Oryctolagus cuniculus: one gene and its partner. The protein of the gene in region 1 interacts with the protein of each later gene in a biochemical or structural test. Links are inferred from orthologs where the notes say so. Each region holds a gene or a part of one and is shown in the gene's direction. Other genes may lie near its edges.

Region 1 (3,517 bases):
TGGACTCCAGACTTCGTCCGCTGCCCACCGCTCAGAGCGCTGCTCTAGGGCTGGGAGTTTTAGTCAAAGACGCTCATTCAGACGTCGTCGGCCGTCGCAGCACTGTTGCCTATTAGCTTCTCTGTTGCTAAAGGAGCCGGTACAACCTTTTTGCTGTTAGTCCACAGCTTGCTTTAGCGGCTGTTGTCAGGTTGTAACGCGGAGCCGTGCCCAGCACTGCGGTCGCGGCTCCTGGTTGTCCCCTACCTGTGGCTGACCGTGAGTAGACCTGGGGTCCACAGCGACAGCCTTGTCCTCGGGCCGCCATGCCAGCCAGCAAGGAAGCATGGCCGCACGGCTCCTCGCGGCGTGTGTGTTCCTGTGTGAACTTGCCGTCCTTCTCGGGGGTCCGTGGACAGGAGAAGCGGCGTGTGGGTCAGGGAGCTTCCTGACGCTTCTGTGGAATCGGCCTTTCCAGGTCCCGGCCGCCATCATCACTCCCATCTCGGGGCTCAGAGGCCTGAGGAGTGCCGGTCTGATGGGGTAGCTGACCGACTACAAACCGCCCAGCAGCCGCGGGACAGGCGGCTTGGCAGGAGCGCTGTCCAGGCTCAGCTGGCCCCGCACAGTAACTGAGGGCGCTCCCCTCCTGCTTGGGGCACACCTGCCTGTTAGCTTTTTGGGCCCCTGTGTCCAGGAACCCAGTTATGCAGAGGTGATCGTTAGCCTGGGGTCATCCAATGGCCAGGGTCTTCACTGGCTCCCTGTGGAAGCTGGCGTCAGGCGCCTCAGTGTGGAAGGAACACGTGGCGGTCTTTGCTGGGCGAGTGGGATTCGCCCTTCCAGAGCTTCCGCCGGAGCTCCTGCGGCCCGACGCGGCGGCTGGGTTCCAGGTGCTTGCTCGCGCAGGGCGCTGCCTTTTGTGCCACAGCTGCCCTGGGCTTCCTGCGGCGCCCGGACTCTGTGCTTCATTCTTTGGGAAAGCGGAACCGTCCACCCGGGTCCCCGTGGGTGAGATTCTTAGGAGTTTCCTTACGAGGGTCTGGCTGTTTTGGAAGGCCCCGAGGCCCCTCTGAGACTGCCTTCATGGTGGAAGTGGCAGTGCACCTGCTGGCACCGCCGAGCCCCTCTCTGGCGCCTTGCTTTGAGCCTGGTGAGGGCTGCCCGGCGTGGCGGGGTAGCAGCGGTGGCGGCCATGTGCCCATTCTACATCTTGTATCTTTTTTAAAAGCTTTGTGCCAGAAATGACAGTGGAATAGAGCAGGTTACTGCAGCTGCTGAAGAGTTCTTAGAGATAAATTGTGGCTGGCAAGCACTTAGCCGTGTGCCAGGATCCCTGCAGATTGCAAAGGTTGTGCCGCTCTGGTCTGGCCAGTGTGTGTGTGCTGTGGAGAGCTGAAAGGCGGTGTGGCCTGCTCCCCAGCCCCCCAGGGAGAGACTGTTCTGCACCTGCCCCTCCTTCTCTCTGCCCGCCTTGTTGGCAGCGTCTTGGGCTGGGTCTGAGGCCTTGTAGCGTCCCTTTGTTGCAATGCGGGGATCCTGTCCTGTTCCTCAAAGGTCTAGTTTTCAGCTGCCGTCCACTCTGGCACCAAGGGTCTTGCTGTATAGTGCGTCGTTCCATTTCCTGGGTGACGGGGTGGCTTCTGCACCCACAGACTGGTCCCGCCTACTCCAGAGGCTCGGCATGGGCGGCTCCTGGTCAGCTTGTGGAGGTGACAGGGCTGAAAGTGCCAAGACTCGCCCTGGCCTGCCGCATCCGCACTCTTCCAGGAGCCCTGCGCCAGCTTCACAGCCTGGGGCTCTTTCTTACTTTCTTTCGATTTTTGCCTTGGGGTGTGGAGAGGGACCATCGAACACCTGTGCCTCCATCTTACCCTCCCGAGAGCCGCTCCCTGGCTGCAGCCTCTGCAGCAGGTCCCCTGGCCGCTGGGCCTGCTCACTGCTGCTCCCCGAGCCTGGCTCCTCGCAGCCGTGCCCTGGGAAGTCCTGGGCGGCCTCCCGCAGAGCCTTCTCTGATCGCTGTCCTGGAACTGTGGCCGGAATCGAGCACCTGCCTCCCCCGTGTCCCGCAGCACATCTGTAGCACTGGCCCTGAAGCCGCCCCTGCCACCTGTGGCTCCGTGCAGGTGCATTAAGGGAGGCCCCGAGTCATCGGGTGGCCATTGTGCGGCTCAGCCCCTGCCTACCTGCTGTTTCTGTCCCCTCCCACAGTGCTCAGCGCCCCGCCGCTGTGCCTGTCCCCAGGCCTCTGGGTGGTCGTCCACCACGCCCGTCAGGGCCACAGTCCACTGCTCGAGGTAACCTGCTGTTTTCCTGCCCTAGTTAAAATGTGCGCAGTACTGGCCGCAGAGAGAAGAAAAAGAAATGATGTTTGATGACACAAATCTGAAGTTGACCTTGGTCTCTGAAGATATCAAGTCCTACTACACAGTACGACAGCTAGAATTGGAAAACCTTACAGTGAGTATGGCGGGTGGTCCCTGGGGGGACGGTCCCTGGGGTGATAGGCGCTGATGCCGCCGTCTCCAGGTTGTGTACGCCCTGCACGAGGTGTGGCGCCGGCATGTGCTGGGCAGAGCCTCCTGCAGCCTCACCAGGTGCCTGGGGAAGGGCTAGGACAGGCGGGCCACAGAGCCCTCACCCCCGTGGGCACAGGTCTTAGGGGAAGGGGTTCCTTGCCGGGACCGTGGCCCACCCACGTGCGTGCGTGCGTGCGGCGGCCGAGGCCGAGCCGGGGCTGCGAGTTCCGCACCGGCAGAGCGGGCCGCCCGCTCCGGTGCCCCTGGGGCTGCTCTAGTGCAAGGCGGGGAGGCCTTTCCGCGCCGGCGCCCGCTCTGCAGCCGTGGCGTTGGAGGCGAGGTCCCCCTGTACCTGCAGCTGTCTTAACTGTGGATTCGGAAGGCTGAATGGCAGAGAGAGGGAGAGAGAGGGAGAGAGAGGGGGAGAGAGGGGGGTTCTGTCTGCTGGTTCACTCCCACGATGGCCAGGGCTGGACTAGGCTGAAGCCAAGAGCCCCGAGTTCCATCCAGGTCTCCCACGTGGGAGCAGGGCCCAAGCACTGGGCCGTCTCCCACTGCCTTCCCAGGTGCGTCAGCAGGGAGCTGGATGGGAAGTGGAGCAGCCAGGACTCGAACCCGCGCCCATATGGGATGCTGGCCTCTCTCTCACCTCCTATCAGATAGGGTTAGGGGTTTCCGGGAAGGTGGTGTGTAGTGATTGAGATTGCTGGGGTGGAGGGTAGCAGCCTGGAGGGGGGTGAGGGCGGTGGGGCCCACTGGGCTTGCGTGCTGGGCTGCGTGACAGTCACCTCTTAGCTGTCCACATAGTGCTGTGCGGCCCCGTGGCTCCTGGCAGTCTTGTGGAGTGGAAGCAGTGGGACTCAGCACAGGTTACTGGGGAGTGGATAAGTGCAGCCACTCCCGCGCCACCCCTGCCCCCCCGGGAGGGGAACTAGGGGGGCCAGGGGGCCTTCCTGGGGGTTCTGAGAAATAACACGGGCAGCCTGTGAAAGTGCCCGGAGGCTGATGTAGGAGACCTT
Region 2 (3,517 bases), on another chromosome or scaffold:
CTAGAAAAGAAATCTAGACTCTCTGGTGAATTTTATAGTCTTCAAACTGTGTGACAATACATTTGATTTTTTTAAAAGATTCTATGTATTTATTTGAGAGGTAGAATTACAGACAGTGAGAGGGAGGATGGAGAAAAGGTCTTAGATCCACTGGTTCACTCCCCAAAGGGCCACAGTGATCAGAGCTGAGTTTATCCAAAGCCAGAAGCCAGGAGCTTCCTCTCGGTCTCCCACCTGGGTACAGGGGCCCAAGGACTTGGGCCATCCTCTACTGCTTTCCCAGGCTGTAGCAGAGAGCTGGATCGGAAGAGGAGCAGCTGGGACTCGAACCAGCGCCCATATGGGATGCCGGCACTGCAGTTGGAGGATTAACCTACTGCACCACAGCGCCAGTTCTAACATATTTGATTTTTACAAAACAAAATATATTTTTGAGGAGTCACTGATTATACTTCTGATTTCAAGAAGGTTTCTCTCTCAGTCCATTTCTTATATATTGCCTTAACATGTGCCTTAGTAAATTATAAACCCGATGGTCACTGACATTGTGAAGAAAGCACAGTTTGAGGGGCTCGAGCTCATTCCTGTACACTCTGCTCTCCTGTAGTCATTCTCACACACTTCCTTGCCCTTGTAGCTCAGTGTCTTAGGGGTTTCTTTGACACTTGGAGAAAGGTGTACATTACTCCATATTGATGCTTCGTGCACAGAAATGTGAATCTGGTGGGTCAGATGTTGCTAGCAGGGCAGGCTGCTTGCTGTTGAAGATGAATTGCCCGTTCTGCCCTCCAGGTGACTTCTGAGCTAATGATGTATGGGAGTGTTGTAGGACACAGATGCTGGGGTGAACACAGTCCCAAGCAAAGTTTCTCAAACCAGGGGAGGGGCTGATGTGACTGACAGGACCTGATCTATCGTTACTCCCTCTGGCACCTGCTTTCATGTACAACACACTAGGGTCCTCTGGAATATAGAACCGTGTACACACCCAAAGGTGTAGCAGGTGAATGGAGGAATAGCAGCATCAACTTAAAACAACTGTTAGCCTTTGAAATGTAAGAGTATAAAAAGGATGTACTGTTGGGGCCAGCGTTGTGGTGTAGCGGGTAAAGCTGCTGCCTGCAGTGCCGGCATCCCATATGGGCACAGGTTCGAGTCCCAGCTGCTCCACTTCTAATCCAGCTCTCTGCTGTGGACTGGGAAAACAGTAGAAGATGGCCCAAGTCCTTGGGTCCCCGCACCTGCGTGGGAGACCCAGAGGAAGCTCCTGGCTCTTGGCTTCGGATCAGCACAGCTCCGGCCTTGGCAGCCAATTGGGGAGTGAACCATTAGATGGAAGACCTCTCTCTCTCTCTGCCTCTCCTCTCTCTGTGTAACTCTGACTTTCAAATAAATAAATAAACCTTTAAAGAAATGATGTACTGTTAAAATATAAAGGACATGTTTATAAGGTTCAAAATATCATCTGATAAACACATTTGCAGTTTTTCCACAAAGGAAGTTTTCATTAGAATAGAGATTCATACAGTGTTTGTCATCATACTGCAAATAAGATGACCAATTTTACTCACAATATTTAACTCTGATTTATATAGTTTTGTGACATTTCAATATTGTGATAGTTTGAAATTTATGTCTTTGAAAAACACTTCAGCACTTCTTTTTCTTTATATTCAGACTCTTTCAAATTCTAGGTTAGATTTTATGAGTTGTGTTTATGGTTCGATTTATGAGTTACTTAAGATAAAAAGTGGGTTTATCCCTTAAGAATGAAGATGTATCTTAGGGCCAGTGTGTGGCATAGCAGGTAAAGTCATCTCCTGAGATGCCAGCACGCCAAATGGGCACCAGTTCACGTCCCAGCTGCTCCAAGTCCAGCTCCCTGCTAATGGCCTGGGAAAAGCAGCAGAGGATAGCCCAAGAGCTTGGGCCCCTGCTATCCATGTGGGAGACCTGGACGAAACTCCAGACTCCTGGCTTTGGCCTGGTCCAGCCTTAGCTGTTACAGCCATCTGGGGAGTGAACCAGCAGATGGAAGATCTCCCTTTCTCAGTCTCTTCCTCTCTTTCTGTAAGTCTGACTTTCGTATAAAGAAATAAATCTTTTTAAAAATGTAGATGTGTCTATCCTTTCTGACCAAAGAACATTGGAGAGGAGGAGGCAGGCTTAACAAGCAAGATGAGATGCTGGCCCAAGGTACAGTGGCTGTTTGTGTGCAAAAAGCTGGAGGGGCAACTCGAGCAGAAAGAGAAGGAAAACGCGGCTCAAAAAACTAGTTTATTTTGATATTCAAAAGCTATTGCCACTCTGCAATAACAGTTTCAAGAAATCCACATAATTTCTTTTCAATTCTTATTACCATACATCTTTTTGTCCACATCGCACTGATAAGCTGATCAACTTGACATGTGTCCAGATCAACATGGATCTGTTGCAGAAAGTAAATGGTGATTGATTTTAAGGCATAAATAATTTTCAGTTTATTGCTGTTATTTTGTTTTAAGATTTTATTTATTTATTTGAGAGGTAGAATTATAGACAGTGAGAGGGAGAGGCAGAAAGGTCTTCCATCCGCTAGTTCATTCCCCAGCTGGCTGCAATGGCCAGAGCTGTGCTGATCTGAAGCTGGGAGCCAGGAGCTTCTTCCAAGTCTCCCACGTGGGTGCAGGGGCCCAAGGACTTGGGCCATCTTCTGCTGCTTTCCCAGGCCATAGCAGAGAGCTGAATTGGAAGTGGAACAGCTGGGACATGAACCGGTGCCCACAGGGGATGCTGGCGCCTCAGGCAGAGGATTAATCCACTGTGCCACAGCATCGGCCCCTATTGCTATTATTTTGATACCGCATTTAACCATTTGTATATGACTGTTGACTCTTCTTGTTCCACAGGATTGCCATCGGCCAGTTTGGCTGCCCCTAACCTCACTGTGGAGGAAGGAAAATCCATCACGTTGTCCTGTAACGTGGCAGGTGACCCGGTTCCTAATCTGTACTGGGATGTCGGTAATCTGGTTTCCAAGCACATGGTAAGACTTGGGCTTGGCTCTCTCTGTGTGAGTAGAGAAGACAATAGGTGTTTCAGAACTCAAGATTGAATTAAGCCTCATGATGCTCATTTAATAGTTTACATGGAAATTTATAAGTTTATTTATTCTTAACCAGCAAAGATTCATGCTGGCTTGCATTGTAGTTATAAACTGGGGACTCTTTCTATCCCCGATGACCTCTTTGTGTGAGTGAGCAAGGTGAATGACTCTGCTTGTGGCATTTTCCCTTTGAGAGAGGTAGATGGGAATTCAAGGATTAAGTGAGCTTCACACAGTATGCACTTTGTACCTAGATCAAGACAATATCAATAACAATGACAATGACTGCCTCTGGCCTGAGTTTGATTCAAGCAAGAAGCTTTTCTGATTATATCTATCTTTATCTCTACTTATAGATAGATAGATGGGGGAAAAAGACCCTCCATATCTTGTTGTTGGGTGTGAATCCTAATGAATGTTTTTGTCTGTTCA

The links. The genes of interacting proteins can lie anywhere in the genome.
Region 2: the proteins of PTPN1 (region 1) and NTRK2 form a complex in vitro, tested with the Homo sapiens proteins (2 studies listed by BioGRID, with this or other methods). The link is inferred for Oryctolagus cuniculus from reciprocal best matches to the Homo sapiens genes PTPN1 and NTRK2.

The regions. Positions count from the first base shown.
Region 1 is NC_091442.1:10,256,336-10,259,852, reverse strand, and holds part of PTPN1 (tyrosine-protein phosphatase non-receptor type 1), read left to right. Parts: intron 1-2,301; coding exon 2,302-2,439; intron 2,440-3,517. UniProt on the Homo sapiens protein: Tyrosine-protein phosphatase which acts as a regulator of endoplasmic reticulum unfolded protein response. Mediates dephosphorylation of EIF2AK3/PERK; inactivating the protein kinase activity of EIF2AK3/PERK.
Region 2 is NC_091432.1:135,622,135-135,625,651, forward strand, and holds part of NTRK2 (BDNF/NT-3 growth factors receptor), read left to right. Parts: intron 1-2,888; coding exon 2,889-3,025; intron 3,026-3,517. UniProt on the Homo sapiens protein: Receptor tyrosine kinase involved in the development and the maturation of the central and the peripheral nervous systems through regulation of neuron survival, proliferation, migration, differentiation, and synapse formation and plasticity.